4 linked regions of the Saccharomyces cerevisiae S288C genome follow. The protein of the gene in region 2 binds, or shares a complex with, the protein of the main gene of each other region. Each region holds a gene or a part of one and is shown on either strand. Other genes may lie near its edges. A codon is read from its position in the direction of its gene.

Region 1 (5,433 bases), on a different chromosome or scaffold from region 2:
CTACCCTAGAGGAAGTACGATATCAGTACACTTTTGTATTTTTAACGAATTATGGTATTCTTTAAAATATTTAACATGCTATCGAGTTTTTCTTTCTAAAATGCGGTTTCAAAATTTGAGTCCGCTTTCTATGGAAAATATGAATGAGGCGAACGTGCTTGTACCATAGTCAGATTTTAACCCGTAGGTGAGAGCCTGAGGCTTCTGTAAACCACCTTGGAAACACATACGGGTTATAAGATTTTAACAAACAATCAGTCTCCATACTCATCCTAGGATCTCTTCTTCATTTGATGAATAAAGGATTCAAACTTCAGAAAGTTATTCAGCGTATATTGGCTTTCCTTTAATCTAATGCCCCAAGCCATCATAAATAGCCATATTACTTTGAAAGTGCTCATCCGTATACACTGCAACTTTTCTTCTTTTCTCTTTAGCCGATTATAGCTCCTACCTGTTTTTTTTTTCTTCTTAAGATTATTTATATTCCAATTTTATCATCCGTATTGTTTCCAATAGCGTTCCAGTGATCAGTTATATACTTCGAGAGGCAGATAACCTTTCTTTTTATAAGTGTTTATCAAATTTAAGTCTGCAAGCTATCATAAGACGAGGATATCCTTTGGAGACTCATAGAAATCATGGAAAGCACATCAGGAGAACGTTCCGAAAATATACATGAGGATCAAGGGATACCAAAAGTAATTCTGCCCGCTGATTTTAATAAATGCTCTAGAACTGACCTAGTGGTGCTCATATCACGAATGTTAGTATCGCTGATAGCAATCAATGAAAATTCAGCAACAAAGAAATCTGATGACCAAATTACTTTAACACGATACCATTCTAAGATTCCTCCAAACATATCAATCTTCAACTATTTCATACGACTGACAAAGTTTTCCTCTTTAGAACATTGTGTGCTTATGACATCACTCTATTATATCGATTTATTGCAAACTGTGTATCCTGATTTTACGCTTAATTCGTTGACTGCCCATAGGTTTTTATTAACAGCCACCACAGTCGCAACAAAAGGCTTATGTGATTCGTTCTCAACAAACGCCCATTATGCAAAAGTTGGAGGAGTACGATGTCACGAATTGAATATACTGGAGAACGATTTTTTAAAGAGAGTAAACTACAGAATCATTCCGCGGGATCATAACATTACGTTATGTAGTATAGAGCAAAAACAGAAAAAGTTTGTCATAGATAAAAACGCATTAGGGTCTCTCGATTTGGATTCTTATTCTTACGTTAATCGTCCAAAAAGTGGATATAATGTTCTAGATAAATACTATCGAAGAATAGTTCAGCTGGTGGGTTCCTTTAACGCTTCACCTGATAAGAGTAGAAAGGTTGATTATGTTCTCCCGCCAAATATTGATATAGTGAGTGAAAGTGGCTCCCAAACTACTCAACTAAAGGGGTCGTCATCACCCAATTCTCACTCTTCACAAAAGCGATATTCTGAGGCAAAGGACGCACATATCTATAACAAGCGATCAAAGCCAGATTAATGATTTTTCGTGGGGTATTATGAAAGCAATCATGATTGAGCAAAATTAAAACTTTCCATTTGTACATATATATATATATATATATATATATCTGTGTGTGTATAATAAGCAATTGGCCATCATTTGGCTAAAAAGTTCAAGATTTCAGGTAGTATATAAGAGAATAACTTCCCTCTTTTGCTAAAGAAGGATATGTTCTATTTCAGCCTTTTTGCATCATAAGAGCATAAGCGACAGAAAACACTTCGAGATGAGCTTGAGAACTCCATTTCAATTAACTTGATAAATACATGTAGATTCATATCATCACTGTTCTTTTCAGATACTAGTTTCAAAACTTCCTTGACAGAACCATTTCATGTTCAATAATGAAAATTACTTTCACATGTTTTAGTGGAAAAATACTGAACAATGAAATTTCAATATCGCATATAATAATTTTTGTTATCAAATATATATTTTTCGGAAGTCATATACATTAAATAATTAAAACATTATTTTTAAAAATTAAAAAAATATATTTTAGCAAATAGTTTTTACTTTTTTTTAAATGCAAAATAAGTTCACGTGATATTATTAATAATATTTTACCCAAAAATATGAGGGCATCGGAAAATTTTTCAGTAATGAATATTAATGTTCATCTGAAGATAGACGAAATAGGAACAACAAACAGCTTATAAGCACCCAATAAGTGCGTTATGACTTCTGAAAATCCGGATGTACTTTTATCTAGGGTGATAAATGTGGTGAGAGCAGCATCATCGTTAGCCAGTCAAGATGTAGACTTTTACAAGAATTTAGACAGGGGATTTAGTAAAGATCTGAAATCAAAAGCAGACAAACTTGCGGATATGGCGAATGAAATAATCCTCTCTATTGATGAGCATCATGAATCATTTGAACTTAAAGAAGAGGACATTTCTGACTTGTGGAACAACTTTGGAAACATCATGGATAATTTGTTAGAAATGTCAGACCATTCGCTGGATAAGCTGAATTGTGCAATAAACTCAAAGTCAAGAGGTTCCGATCTTCAGTATTTAGGCGAATTTTCAGGAAAGAATTTTTCTCCCACCAAAAGAGTCGAAAAACCTCAGTTGAAATTTAAAAGTCCAATTGATAACAGCGAAAGTCATCCGTTCATACCTTTATTGAAGGAAAAACCAAATGCTTTGAAGCCACTCTCTGAGAGTTTGAGGTTGGTTGATGATGATGAAAATAACCCCAGTCACTACCCCCATCCTTATGAATATGAGATTGATCATCAAGAGTATAGTCCAGAAATTCTCCAAATTAGAGAGGAGATTCCCTCAAAATCCTGGGATGATTCGGTACCAATTTGGGTAGATACAAGTACAGAACTCGAATCAATGTTGGAGGACTTGAAAAATACGAAAGAGATTGCCGTTGATCTTGAGCATCACGATTATAGGTCATACTATGGTATTGTTTGCCTCATGCAAATTAGTACAAGGGAAAGGGATTATTTAGTTGATACTCTAAAACTTCGCGAAAATTTACATATTCTGAACGAAGTGTTTACGAACCCTTCAATTGTGAAAGTTTTTCACGGTGCATTCATGGATATTATTTGGCTTCAGCGAGATTTAGGTTTGTATGTCGTTGGTCTCTTCGATACTTACCATGCGTCTAAAGCAATCGGTCTTCCTAGACATAGTTTGGCCTATCTTTTGGAGAATTTTGCCAATTTTAAAACTTCAAAGAAATATCAGTTGGCTGACTGGCGTATAAGACCGCTTTCAAAACCCATGACGGCATATGCTAGAGCAGATACTCACTTTTTACTAAATATATATGACCAGTTGAGAAACAAACTTATCGAGTCTAATAAGTTAGCAGGTGTTCTTTATGAATCAAGAAATGTCGCAAAAAGAAGGTTTGAATATTCAAAGTACAGACCACTGACACCTTCTTCAGAAGTTTATTCTCCAATCGAAAAAGAGAGTCCTTGGAAAATATTGATGTATCAGTACAACATACCACCTGAGAGGGAAGTATTAGTAAGAGAGCTATACCAATGGAGAGATCTTATTGCAAGAAGAGACGATGAATCGCCACGATTTGTTATGCCAAACCAGTTATTGGCTGCACTTGTCGCATATACACCTACTGATGTCATAGGTGTTGTTTCTTTGACCAATGGCGTAACTGAACATGTCCGCCAGAATGCAAAACTATTAGCTAATTTGATAAGAGATGCATTACGAAACATCAAGAACACCAATGAGGAAGCTACTCCCATTCCATCTTCCGAGACCAAAGCAGACGGAATATTGTTGGAGACTATAAGTGTTCCTCAAATCCGTGATGTTATGGAAAGGTTTTCGGTGTTGTGCAACAGCAATATTTCCAAGAGCCGAGCCAAGCCTGTCACTAATTCTTCTATTCTGTTGGGTAAGATTTTACCACGTGAGGAGCATGATATTGCATATAGCAAAGACGGCTTGCCAAATAAAGTGAAGACGGAAGATATCAGGATCCGAGCACAAAATTTCAAGTCTGCCTTAGCAAACTTGGAGGATATCATATTCGAAATAGAGAAACCTCTCGTTGTTCCTGTCAAGCTAGAGGAGATTAAGACAGTAGACCCTGCGAGCGCACCTAATCACTCGCCTGAGATTGATAATCTTGATGATCTTGTTGTTTTAAAGAAGAAAAACATTCAAAAGAAACAACCAGCAAAGGAAAAAGGTGTAACGGAAAAAGATGCTGTGGATTATTCAAAAATTCCGAATATCTTATCTAATAAGCCTGGCCAAAATAATAGACAACAAAAGAAAAGGAGATTCGACCCATCATCTAGCGATAGTAATGGACCAAGGGCAGCTAAAAAGAGGAGGCCTGCCGCCAAAGGTAAGAATCTGTCATTTAAAAGGTGATTATGTAAAACAAGCGTATTTTTTTATTTATAAATTATGGTAATTTTCATTTAAGACCTCTAAATTCATCTAATCGAATATCTGTGTCATGGAGTTATGGCTCCCCCATGCACACCATTTTCTCTTTTTTTGTTTCTGTGTTTCCCTTCATCTCCTTTATTATGAAAAGTACAAGTTTTATATAATTTCAACGTCGGAGGTTATCCGGAAATCTATAGTTGAATTTTTGCAGGATTATACTTCGCTCGAATATTGTGCGTGTTAAATACTCAGCGAGAACAATACTTCCAAGTTAGAAAAGGGATTTGCTCATGTTAAAGCAATGGCACTCCGAATGGACGGTGTCAGGAATTCTTTTCTTCACATCAGGCTTCGCATAGAAAATGGCCATTGGCAAAAGGTTACTGGTGAACAAACCAGCAGAAGAATCATTTTATGCTTCTCCAATGTATGATTTTTTGTATCCGTTTAGGCCAGTGGGGAACCAATGGCTGCCAGAATATATTATCTTTGTATGTGCTGTAATACTGAGGTGCACAATTGGACTTGGTCCATATTCTGGGAAAGGCAGTCCACCGCTGTACGGCGATTTTGAGGCTCAGAGACATTGGATGGAAATTACGCAACATTTACCGCTTTCTAAGTGGTACTGGTATGATTTGCAATACTGGGGATTGGACTATCCACCATTAACAGCATTTCATTCGTACCTTCTGGGCCTAATTGGATCTTTTTTCAATCCATCTTGGTTTGCACTAGAAAAGTCACGTGGCTTTGAATCCCCCGATAATGGCCTGAAAACATATATGCGTTCTACTGTCATCATTAGCGACATATTGTTTTACTTTCCTGCAGTAATATACTTTACTAAGTGGCTTGGTAGATATCGAAACCAGTCGCCCATAGGACAATCTATTGCGGCATCAGCGATTTTGTTCCAACCTTCATTAATGCTCATTGACCATGGGCACTTTCAATATAATTCAGTCATGCTTGGCCTTACTGCT
Region 2 (4,360 bases):
GCATCTGTTCCTATTCCAGATGACTTCGTTAAGGTTCAAGGTATTGATTACTCAAAGCCTGAAGCCACTAATATGAGAGCAACTGATTTAATTGAAGCTATGAAGACCATGGGTTTCCAAGCTAGTTCTGTTGGTACTGCCTGTGAGATTATTGATAGTATGAGATCATGGAGAGGTAAGCATATTGACGAATTGGATGACCATGAAAAGAAAGGTTGCTTCGATGAGGAAGGGTACCAAAAGACTACTATCTTCATGGGTTATACTTCTAACTTGATCAGTTCCGGTGTACGTGAAACTTTACGTTATTTGGTGCAACACAAAATGGTTGATGCTGTCGTTACTTCTGCTGGTGGTGTGGAAGAAGATTTGATCAAATGTCTTGCTCCAACTTACTTGGGTGAATTTGCTTTGAAAGGTAAATCTTTGCGTGACCAAGGTATGAATCGTATTGGTAACTTGCTTGTTCCAAATGATAACTACTGTAAGTTTGAAGAATGGATTGTCCCAATTTTGGATAAGATGTTGGAAGAACAAGATGAATACGTAAAGAAACATGGCGCTGACTGTTTAGAGGCTAACCAAGACGTGGATTCACCAATCTGGACCCCATCTAAGATGATAGATCGTTTTGGTAAGGAAATCAACGACGAATCCTCCGTATTGTACTGGGCCCACAAGAATAAAATTCCAATCTTTTGTCCATCTTTGACTGATGGTTCAATCGGTGACATGTTGTTTTTCCATACTTTTAAAGCATCTCCAAAACAACTAAGAGTTGACATTGTAGGAGATATCCGCAAAATCAATTCAATGTCCATGGCCGCTTACAGAGCCGGTATGATCATCTTGGGTGGTGGTTTGATCAAGCACCACATTGCCAATGCTTGTTTGATGAGAAATGGTGCTGATTATGCCGTTTACATTAACACTGGTCAAGAATACGATGGTTCTGATGCAGGTGCAAGACCTGACGAAGCTGTGTCTTGGGGTAAGATCAAGGCTGAAGCCAAATCCGTCAAACTTTTTGCTGATGTCACCACTGTTCTTCCATTGATTGTTGCTGCTACCTTTGCCAGTGGTAAACCAATCAAAAAAGTTAAGAATTGATGAGAGAATTTTGAGATGAAAAAAAAAAAAATGAATCTGTACTATTTCTTTTTTTAGTGCAAAAGTTTTGTTTTAATATAGAGATAAATAAAAAAATGAACATATTACTATAATATCAACAAAATATGATGTAATGTCTGCAATAAAGATGAGTCAATTGCATTTCTATACGTACTAATCGTGTGTACATAGCCATGACATTATGTAAGTTTATACACATAAATTGCGTTGGAGTCTGCTGTGTAGTTTATAAATGTGTAAACAGCGGCTTTTGTATTCCTATTAGTTGCCGTTACCTCTCATTTTTTCGGCGGTAAGAATGTCACTGCCTATGGATTCCATTACATTTTTCTCAATCAGTTCACCTACGTTTGAATAAACCATACTAGCTTCGTAAGCACTTACTATACGTTGTTGAGTAATGCCTATTTCACAGAACGCTAACGCTTTGATCACGTTCGCATACCGGCAAATTGCTTGTCGTATGTTGTTCGATATGGAAGGATCGTTTTCATCCGAATATATTTGCCATGAAGACTCTTCTTCCAGTCTTGTTATGGAGGGATTTAATGATACCGCACCAGTGGGTCCAGTTGATTTAATTGAGGAACTGTTATTTGCAGACGGCGTATCCCTCGCTAAGTCCATCTGAGATGTTTTCCTTAACCATATGTAACCATTGACTCCGAGAACTACGGTTATGTTGCCGGGCAAATTATGAGTATGGTTCTTGGCTCTCACTATTAATGAACTCGGGACTTGGCAAAACATCCCGTTTCTTAACTTCCCGTACTTTAGAGACCTTGTATGTAAAGAGGCACTACCATCTTGAAATAATGATTGAACTTCTGCATTCAGGAGGTCACCTTCCTTAAGGAAGCTTCTCATTTGTAGTTCATCACTTTCAGATTTTCTTCTTAGAATACCACCCGGTAAATTCACAGAGCCCAACATAAGTACTGCATGTTGCTTACCGCCAATGTCTACTTTCCATCTCTTGTTACCCACTTCAGCAATTCTCCCTACGACGTGATCACCAGTTTCTGGGGCATAACGACCTTTCAATGGAATTACCGATAGCAGCCTATTGACACGGGATACAGTACCAGCAACAGAGGAATACGTCATATTATCAAGAAAATACGTACCGTGACCTCTCATCCAGATAGGGTCATCAGTGACCAGCTCACCTGGCGTCACAATTTGAGAATCAGACTCACTTTTAGAAGCTGAGTTAACATCGTGCATGTAGATATCTTCTTCATCATTTTCATCATCTGATATCCCTGTGTTGTTATAGGACAGGTTAGATGAATTTTGGAAGGCACCGTTCCGCTTGGTAATTGTGATAACTTCGGACATATCTGTTTACGCTTGTGTGACTACGCAAAGATTTAGAATGCAAGCAGTACTTAAGGAAGGATATTTTTCTTCTACTTTTGTTTTAGTTTTCTTAATTTTTTTTTTTTTTTCACCTCATCGCTCAATCCATACTGAGGAAGAAAAAGAAAAAAAAAGATTCACTGAGGATATTTGAACAAACCAGTTTAAACCATAAGTAAAGGTAAGGATATTTTTCATTGCATGAAAATCGCACTGCCAGTATTCCAAAAATTTAATAGATTGATCAGTTCGTGCAAGATGTCAGGAGTGTTCCCATACAACCCACCCGTGAATCGCCAAATGCGAGAATTGGATAGGTCATTTTTCATCACCAAGATACCAATGTGTGCAGTCAAGTTCCCCGAACCCAAAAATATCAGTGTGTTTTCTAAAAACTTCAAAAATTGCATCTTGAGGGTGCCCCGTATCCCGCACGTTGTTAAGTTAAACTCATCCAAGCCAAAGGACGAACTGACAAGTGTACAGAACAAGAAACTAAAGACTGCAGATGGCAATAATACCCCAGTCACGAAAGGTGTGCTGCTACACGAATCCATCCACAGCGTGGAGGATGCGTATGGAAAATTGCCTGAGGACGCCTTGGCGTTTCTTAAGGAAAACAGTGCGGAAATTGTACCACACGAATACGTGCTCGATTATGATTTCTGGAAAGCTGAGGAGATTCTTCGAGCCGTGCTGCCCGAGCAATTCCTGGAAGAGGTTCCAACGGGTTTTACAATCACAGGCCACATTGCCCACTTGAACTTGCGCACCGAGTTCAAACCATTCGACTCGCTCATCGGACAAGTCATCCTTGACAAGAACAACAAAATCGAATGTGTCGTGGACAAAGTCAGCTCCATTGCCACACAGTTCAGGACTTTTCCTATGAAAGTCATTGCTGGGAAAAGCGATAGTCTAGTGGTAGAGCAGAAGGAATCCAACTGCACTTTCAAATTCGACTTTAGCAAGGTGTACTGGAACTCCCGATTGCACACAGAGCATGAAAGACTCGTCAAACAGTACTTCCAGCCTGGCCAAGTAGTCTGTGATGTTTTCGCCGGCGTGGGGCCCTTTGCTGTACCTGCGGGCAAGAAGGATGTCATCGTTTTGGCTAACGACTTGAATCCTGAGAGTTACAAATACTTGAAGGAGAACATCGCATTGAACAAAGTGGCCAAGACCGTCAAATCCTTCAACATGGATGGCGCTGACTTCATCCGCCAGTCGCCACAGTTATTACAACAGTGGATTCAAGATGAAGAGGGCGGCAAGATCACGATCCCTCTGCCTTTGAAGAAACGACACAGATCCCAGCAACACAATGACCAACAACCGCCACAACCACGCACCAAAGAGCTGATCATTCCGTCACATATTAGCCACTATGTCATGAATCTACCAGACAGCGCCATTTCTTTCTTAGGAAACTTCCGTGGCATCTTTGCAGCACACACTAAAGGCGCCACTGATACCATCCAAATGCCATGGGTGCACGTGCACTGTTTTGAGAAGTACCCGCCTGGCGACCAAGTCACTGAGGACGAGTTGCATGCACGCGTTCATGCCCGTATTATTGCCGCGCTCAAGGTCACTGCAGACGATCTTCCGTTGAATGCCGTTTCGTTGCATTTGGTGCGCAAAGTTGCACCCACCAAACCGATGTATTGCGCGAGTTTCCAACTTCCAGCTAACGTATGAAGCGATCTGCTCTTGCAGTTTGCCGTGGGAGGAAAAAGGCAAAAAGGCGACCATTAGAAAAAGAAACGAGATGACTAACACCTTTATCTTCGAGAAGGCGCGGGGCTGACAGGGCACTGCGCGATGCGTCATACTACTTGAATACAACACAACCCGTCTTCTGTTA
Region 3 (3,720 bases), on a different chromosome or scaffold from region 2:
ACTATCTTTTTATCCTGTGGCGTTTGTTCAATGATGGAGTTCAATCTTGACCTGATGGCAAATAACCTCAACCAATAACCTCTGTTAATACAGGGAGATCTTTTAATTTTCTTAGGAACAAAGAATTTAAAATATTCCAACAGTTTATTATTCTTATCCATTTGGAAATTATTAGCCGAACTCAGTTTTGGCAAATACAATAACTCTACCGATCTTTTAGAAGCAATTGAGGAGTTATTTGTGCCTTGAATCGCCAAATCAGCGTACTTTTTACGTCTTTCTTGTTTGACATTCTTGTTCGTTTGCTTTATAGTGGTCAGATTCTTCATCGTATTAGATATGTGCACTATAGTTGTCGAAATTTTATGGCCATATGTTAGATGTGATGAGATGAGATGAGATGAAACTTTTTTTCCTTCGCTTTTTCAAAGGACATTAAAAAAGGACGTGAAATATTGATGATATCTATGTGTTTATATATTTTAATTATACATGGTAGTCTACTCCTCCTTGACCGTAAGTATTTCTTTAAACTGTCTTTTTGCTATATCCTTGAACGCTGCCGTGTCGTTTTTTTGACAACACTCCATTATGGTTCTATAACAAGCTAAAGTGTTAGATAATTCCTCGCACTTAACCCAGATCTTCCCATTGAGACCAATGGCGACTTCAAACTTGGTATGTGCAGCCAACACTTTTAATAACGGGAAGTCATTATTGAAAAGCAACTGGCGTGCGAAATTCAAATTCACGTCAATGATCATACCATCTTCCAATATCCCGAAACCAGCATCGCGTCCTGTAGTTGAGTCAAAACATTCTATTTCGGCTTCTAGTTCCTTTTCTGCGGTACAAACTCTCGCATACACTAGATCTCCCACTTGCAAAGTTGGCCTGTTTTTCTTTGAAGCATTGGGAAAAGCCATATACGATAGTGAAACACTGGAGGAGAAATTTTGCAACGAAACCTTATAGCTATCTGAAAATGTCCCTATAATGACACCGATTACAAAATCGTTTACAGATGGAATGTATCTCTTACTAGAATAGTCTATATATGCGGTCTGAACACCACTCTTACCCTTAGCGGAAACATGCAAAACACCTGTATTAACAGGTCGTATTTCTTGAGTATTGGGGTCACAATATATGCCAGGGCCCAGTTTAACAGGTGTAGTAGGGTCTACAGGAAAGCTATCACCAGGGAATATGAACGTAGACATCTTGTATGCTCTTGGTTAGTCGAAATGCTGGAGATGAGCTGCTGAAGCATCCGTTTGTGCTGTTGGTTTAATATGCTTCTCTAAACCAAAAAATTTCAGCCGATCAGGTCCGGGTCACACCACTACCCTTACTAGTAAACAATGATGGCTTTCATTAAGGTAACTTTAAGTGAGGTGGATGGAACTAGTTTCCACGAAACTTCATCGAAGAGGTCTGGGGTTCTATGACGTATAATTAAAACTCTGGGAGGTTTTCGGAGGTTCCCGTAGGTCAATTCTTAAGGCTCTATGACATATTCTGGGAGCGGAGATATTTTCGGAGGTCCCCGTTAATAAGAGAAAAGTAGCCATATAAAAGAGAACAATGAAATATTGCCCCAGAGAGTGGGTTCAAAAGCATGAAAAGGAACAGTATAACGCAGTATAACGCAGTATAACGCAGTATAACGCAGTATGGCAGTTAAAGGATTAGGCAAACCAGATCAAGTTTATGACGGTTCCAAAATCAGGGTCGGTATCATTCATGCCCGTTGGAACCGTGTCATTATTGACGCTCTTGTGAAAGGTGCTATTGAAAGAATGGCTTCCCTTGGTGTCGAGGAAAATAACATAATAATTGAAACTGTTCCTGGATCCTATGAATTACCTTGGGGGACAAAAAGGTTTGTTGACAGACAAGCGAAGTTGGGAAAGCCGCTAGATGTTGTAATTCCTATTGGTGTACTTATCAAAGGTAGTACAATGCACTTTGAATACATTTCAGATTCCACCACTCACGCATTGATGAACTTACAAGAAAAAGTCGACATGCCCGTCATTTTTGGCCTCTTAACTTGCATGACTGAAGAACAAGCCCTGGCCAGAGCTGGCATCGATGAAGCGCACTCCATGCACAACCATGGTGAAGATTGGGGTGCTGCAGCAGTGGAAATGGCTGTTAAGTTCGGTAAAAATGCTTTTTGAATAAGCGCAGAGAAATCTATACTATATATGTATATATACTCACTATAGAAGAAGCCCGCTCTTTGATTGTTTCCTCTTACGGTGCTTCAATGCATCTTTCATTTTGCGCCTCATATCACGGGTCCAATTACCTCTGTTAGCCCAGAACTCCTCATCCCAGTTCGATAGCATTGTTTCTCTTCCAGGAGCCCTTACTTTACTCAACTGTGTTTGTCCTACTAAAAATGGCGATTGCAAATGAGGGAAAAACAAGAAATTTTTGTTATCTTTATCTCTAGATACATGTGGTACGGGAGCCGATGTCAAACCTAGGGTGTCAGATGATTTACTTACTTCTTCCTCCAGTTGGTTCACATCAACATCTTTCGCATGATCAATATCATTATCAGAATCTTCAATCAATTTGAATTGTGATACAGGTTCTGCCTCGTTGGGGTTGAATAGGTTTCTTAACGTCTCAGTGTTGCTTATTGTACCTTGACCAATTTCCTTGGTGAAAGTCGGAATAAATTCATTATCCTCCTGCCCGTCGCCCTCGTCCTGTTCTTTCCTTTCCTCTGGTTTTTCTTGTGGTAGGGTGCTCTGGTCCTTCGTCTTATTAACATTCTCGTATTCGGGAGCGTTTACTTCTTTTTCTTCTTCTTCTTCTTCTTCTTCCTCTCCTTTACGTTGCTCTGTCAGAAGTTCCTCGTCCGAATCATTCAACGTCATTGGCTTATCGAAGTCAAAGTCCTTTAATAGGTCATTAAGAATAACATTATTTTTCTCCTTCTCCTCTTCTGACATATTCTCATCGCTGTCCATCTCTCCACTGCAAACGTTTTCATCTTTTGACACTGTTAACTGTTTCAGCCCATTTTTGAATCGAACAGTTTTAACAGCACGACTGTAATCCAATCTATCGACAATGTGGTTGTATCCGTTTTTCCAGAAATTATTTGTAAACTTGTACACAAGGTCATTCAATTCTTTGTTCCTTTCATAACCCCATAATTTAGTCTTATAGCATTTGTAAACTTTCAATGAACCATTGACATTGATCCTGAATGTAATGTTCCTCAATTGACTCCTTTTTCTCGGCGCCTCCCTCATTCTGCCAGCAATAACTTCCTTATGATCTTTCCAACTTTTCGCTACATTTTCCATTTTCTTATAATGTTGCCAATTCTTTTTTTTCATTTTAGCATTTAGTATAATATCTTCTTTAAGGTCCTTTGCATGTTGTACCGCCCAGGTGCTTTCCCAATTCGGCTTTGCTTCATCAACCTTCAAAATGTTCCCTTTAAACTTAACATTATTAAAGCTCTTTCTTAGCTTGTTAAAATCTGCCTCATCATTAAACCTTATATCGATAAATGCAAAGTGGTTGTGTTTTTCAAACTGAAAATCTTGGCAATCACCAAATTTTCCAAATCGATCTAGTAGTTCTGAATAACAATCATCTGCATTATGGAAAATATTTCCGACAAAAATTCTTTTTTGAATTACACTATCCATCGTCGTATATTACCTAGTTCTCACTTCAGGTACAATC
Region 4 (3,639 bases), on a different chromosome or scaffold from region 2:
TGGAGAGTACTTGGGATGCATTCCCTTCCAAAGGCGAAGATGACGATTTGGAGACAATCAGGGACACTAAGACTATATACGACAACAATACGATTTATAATGTTCCCGGTTTGATTGGTAACCAATCGAATTTGCCACCTCTACCGATGGACGCACAGGAACAATTAAATGCAGGAAACGATAATAGTACAACAGATAATGATAATAGTAACAATACTGCCAATGATTTGGCAGCGCGCAGTGCATCTTTCAAAAGTGAAAACAGAACAGTATCTCAAGGCGAAATGACAAGCGTCCATGAACCCAGTACTGAAGAAATGGCGAAATTGGGGCAGCAGAATAACTTACCGAAATTAGATATGAATAAACTACTGAACAGTAAGACTTCGCACGCCGGTAAGATAGAACAGTTGAGAAATTATAAGCGTGAGCTAGATGAATATGATACGGGGATACAAACATGGATAAATTATACGCTAAAATCATCCTCTAATAAGGATAAGGATTTCATAGCTGAGGAGTATAAGCAGCATAGTCACGTTAGGGAAGCATATGCGAACGCGGACGATTTGAGTAAGAAGCATACTGTCATTAACACGGTTGCTAGTGTCAACCAAAATGTAACGCACTTAAGGAGAAAAGTTTTCCAGCATTCTATGAAACCAAAGGATTTATTCGCATCAATAGGTAAGAAAAAACTGTAAGCGTTTTGCTTTACGGTAGAAACACGAAAATGTAAATGCGTTCAATTTTCAATTTTACTGTTTTTTATGTACTTTTATATAAACAGTGGCAATTAATGGCGTTTTTTATTCTACCTAGCAGAGGCGTTACTGACTCTTTTCTGAGCATGTTTCCTCAGTTCTTCATCCATCAAATCTCTTACCCTATGAGCACCTGCGATGCCGATGGCAAGAACGTTCTCTAACCTATCTAACGGAATTTTGTCTTCCACCAATAAAAGAGAAAGTTTTTCTGACTTCCCTACCACACCTAGTGTCACTGTACTCATAGCATTTTCTTCTAATGAATTGGTATCTAATAATGGGGTAGTATCGTACAGCCCGACGGATATACCACTTATGTAATCGAACATTGATATACCGGCATCTATTAAAGCGAGGGTAATACCGTTGATTAAAGATCCCATAATACCGCCATCTTGCTCAAGGACATGGATCTCGATATCGATAACTGTTCTGGGGTAGATATTCAGCATGACATTCTTCTCAAACATCCTCACCAGGGAGGTTTGTATCTCAAGAACACGCCTTTCATTCTTGTGGCTTGATTTACTTCTTTCGAATTTGGAGAATTTTGTAATGTTTACCGATACGTTCAATAAAGCCTTTGAGGTATCCATTTGAGATTTCAATCTTGGCTCTTTTGGACCTTTAACAAGAGTGATAATTTTGTTGTTACCTTGTTCCATGTAGGATGAACCGTCTGCAGCGTGCGGATGTGTGTTGATGGAACTTTCAAAACGGCGGAGTTCATTCCATCGACGTCCATCGAGACGTAGCCCTTCTGGCGAGTATATTTCTAGTCTTGACATATGATGATCCTGCTGTAGTTATGGCACTAAAGTTTTTTTGTAAATCTTTTTATATGTTAATAGATTTTACCAGTGGGACCCTGGAAAGAAAATATGTGTAAATGATGTTTTCTTTTGGATGATGTTCATTGCACAATGGTTCGCAATGTCATTCATTCATCCATTTCTTCTAGCTTTTCAATTATTAATGCCTTAAAATTTTTCAATTTCACCGCGTTACCCGAAGATGTAAATGTACCTACTCAAATAAAAGGTTCCTTGCTGGTTGGCTTTCGTAGCTAAATTGAGTGCACGTTACAAGATTATAAATGCGTTTATATATATATATTCCAGTGAATGATCTACTTTTGCTTAAGCGGCAGAATTGCAAATCTTAATTTTTCTTTTTTGTTTATGTTTTATTTCCTTGTGACAAATAAAATTTTTTTCTCTTCTGAATTTTTAAAACTAAAGAACAAAATATTAAAATAAACAAACAATTCTCCACTTTTTCTTCTTTTGGTATAGAAACTGATAGAAATGTCCTAGACCCTTAATAAGCAAAACACTCATCATTATAACGGGAAAAAATTTGAAGCAAGCTCAAAAGAGATATATATATCATCCAGCATAGACTACTATTAATTTCTATCATAATTGCAATAAAAAAGGAAATATTTAGGGGATCAAGACCATTATTCCATCAGAATGGAAAAAAGTTTAAAAGATCACGGAGATTTTGTTCTTCTGAGCTTCTGCTGTCCTTGAAAACAAATTATTCCGCTGGCCGCCCCAAACAAAAACAACCCCGATTTAATAACATTGTCACAGTATTAGAAATTTTCTTTTTACAAATTACCATTTCCAGCTTACTACTTCCTATAATCCTCAATCTTCAGCAAGCGACGCAGGGAATAGCCGCTGAGGTGCATAACTGTCACTTTTCAATTCGGCCAATGCAATCTCAGGCGGACGAATAAGGGGGCCCTCTCGAGAAAAACAAAAGGAGGATGAGATTAGTACTTTAATGTTGTGTTCAGTAATTCAGAGACAGACAAGAGAGGTTTCCAACACAATGTCTTTAGACTCATACTATCTTGGGTTTGATCTTTCGACCCAACAACTGAAATGTCTCGCCATTAACCAGGACCTAAAAATTGTCCATTCAGAAACAGTGGAATTTGAAAAGGATCTTCCGCATTATCACACAAAGAAGGGTGTCTATATACACGGCGACACTATCGAATGTCCCGTAGCCATGTGGTTAGAGGCTCTAGATCTGGTTCTCTCGAAATATCGCGAGGCTAAATTTCCATTGAACAAAGTTATGGCCGTCTCAGGGTCCTGCCAGCAGCACGGGTCTGTCTACTGGTCCTCCCAAGCCGAATCTCTGTTAGAGCAATTGAATAAGAAACCGGAAAAAGATTTATTGCACTACGTGAGCTCTGTAGCATTTGCAAGGCAAACCGCCCCCAATTGGCAAGACCACAGTACTGCAAAGCAATGTCAAGAGTTTGAAGAGTGCATAGGTGGGCCTGAAAAAATGGCTCAATTAACAGGGTCCAGAGCCCATTTTAGATTTACTGGTCCTCAAATTCTGAAAATTGCACAATTAGAACCAGAAGCTTACGAAAAAACAAAGACCATTTCTTTAGTGTCTAATTTTTTGACTTCTATCTTAGTGGGCCATCTTGTTGAATTAGAGGAGGCAGATGCCTGTGGTATGAACCTTTATGATATACGTGAAAGAAAATTCAGTGATGAGCTACTACATCTAATTGATAGTTCTTCTAAGGATAAAACTATCAGACAAAAATTAATGAGAGCACCCATGAAAAATTTGATAGCGGGTACCATCTGTAAATATTTTATTGAGAAGTACGGTTTCAATACAAACTGCAAGGTCTCTCCCATGACTGGGGATAATTTAGCCACTATATGTTCTTTACCCCTGCGGAAGAATGACGTTCTCGTTTCCCTAGGAACAAGTACTACAGTTCTTCTGGTCACCGATAAGTATCACCCCTCTCCGAACTATCATCTTTTCATTCATCCAACTCTGCCAAACCATTATATGGGTATGATTTGTTATTGTAATGGTTCTT

Evidence for each region.
Region 1: RRP4 (region 2) and RRP6 share a complex: the UniProt entries of both Saccharomyces cerevisiae proteins name them as parts of the RNA exosome complex.
Region 3: RRP4 (region 2) and RRP40 share a complex: the UniProt entries of both Saccharomyces cerevisiae proteins name them as parts of the RNA exosome complex.
Region 4: the proteins of RRP4 (region 2) and SKI6 are in contact, whole or in part, in a cryo-EM structure (PDB 5G06), measured with the Saccharomyces cerevisiae proteins. Residues at the interface, in NP_011936.1 of Saccharomyces cerevisiae: Phe14 (codon at 2,433), Gln15 (codon at 2,430), Ser50 (codon at 2,325), Asp51 (codon at 2,322), Ser52 (codon at 2,319), Val55 (codon at 2,310), Thr56 (codon at 2,307), Pro57 (codon at 2,304), Gly58 (codon at 2,301), Glu59 (codon at 2,298), Tyr74 (codon at 2,253), Ser83 (codon at 2,226), Val84 (codon at 2,223), Ala85 (codon at 2,220), Leu100 (codon at 2,175), Lys101 (codon at 2,172), Gly102 (codon at 2,169), Arg103 (codon at 2,166), Ala117 (codon at 2,124), Glu118 (codon at 2,121), Lys125 (codon at 2,100), Gly130 (codon at 2,085), Lys131 (codon at 2,082), Gln132 (codon at 2,079), His133 (codon at 2,076), Asp179 (codon at 1,938), Glu311 (codon at 1,542); in NP_011711.3 of Saccharomyces cerevisiae: Ser28 (codon at 1,474), Asn30 (codon at 1,468), Thr31 (codon at 1,465), Asp37 (codon at 1,447), Tyr41 (codon at 1,435), Ile50 (codon at 1,408), Pro56 (codon at 1,390), Lys57 (codon at 1,387), Glu58 (codon at 1,384), Arg60 (codon at 1,378), Lys62 (codon at 1,372), Met65 (codon at 1,363), Met113 (codon at 1,219), Ile116 (codon at 1,210), Tyr117 (codon at 1,207), Pro118 (codon at 1,204), Arg119 (codon at 1,201), Thr120 (codon at 1,198), Ile148 (codon at 1,114), Asp149 (codon at 1,111), Ala150 (codon at 1,108), Gly151 (codon at 1,105), Ser153 (codon at 1,099), Met154 (codon at 1,096), Phe155 (codon at 1,093), Asp156 (codon at 1,090), Tyr157 (codon at 1,087), Arg225 (codon at 883), Asp229 (codon at 871), Leu232 (codon at 862).

The regions. Positions count from the first base shown.
Region 1 is NC_001147.6:324,608-330,040, forward strand, and holds RRP6 (exosome nuclease subunit RRP6), read left to right. Parts: upstream 1-2,224; coding exon 2,225-4,426; downstream 4,427-5,433. Other genes in the region: PHO80 (Pho80p), read left to right, coding at 642-1,523; ALG6 (dolichyl-P-Glc:Man(9)GlcNAc(2)-PP-dolichol alpha-1,3-glucosyltransferase), read left to right, coding at 4,810-5,433. UniProt on the Saccharomyces cerevisiae protein: Nuclear-specific catalytic component of the RNA exosome complex which has 3'->5' exoribonuclease activity and participates in a multitude of cellular RNA processing and degradation events.
Region 2 is NC_001140.6:232,187-236,546, forward strand, and holds RRP4 (exosome non-catalytic core subunit RRP4), read right to left. Parts: upstream 2,473-4,360; coding exon 1,393-2,472; downstream 1-1,392. Other genes in the region: DYS1 (deoxyhypusine synthase), read left to right, coding at 1-1,110; TRM5 (tRNA (guanine) methyltransferase), read left to right, coding at 2,695-4,194. UniProt on the Saccharomyces cerevisiae protein: Non-catalytic component of the RNA exosome complex which has 3'->5' exoribonuclease activity and participates in a multitude of cellular RNA processing and degradation events.
Region 3 is NC_001147.6:53,061-56,780, reverse strand, and holds RRP40 (exosome non-catalytic core subunit RRP40), read right to left. Parts: upstream 1,224-3,720; coding exon 501-1,223; downstream 1-500. Other genes in the region: tRNA methyltransferase PPM2, read right to left, coding at 1-329; lumazine synthase RIB4, read left to right, coding at 1,677-2,186; NOP8 (Nop8p), read right to left, coding at 2,229-3,683. UniProt on the Saccharomyces cerevisiae protein: Non-catalytic component of the RNA exosome complex which has 3'->5' exoribonuclease activity and participates in a multitude of cellular RNA processing and degradation events.
Region 4 is NC_001139.9:886,798-890,436, reverse strand, and holds SKI6 (exosome non-catalytic core subunit SKI6), read right to left. Parts: upstream 1,556-3,639; coding exon 815-1,555; downstream 1-814. Other genes in the region: FYV8 (Fyv8p), read left to right, coding at 1-704; XKS1 (xylulokinase), read left to right, coding at 2,562-3,639. UniProt on the Saccharomyces cerevisiae protein: Non-catalytic component of the RNA exosome complex which has 3'->5' exoribonuclease activity and participates in a multitude of cellular RNA processing and degradation events.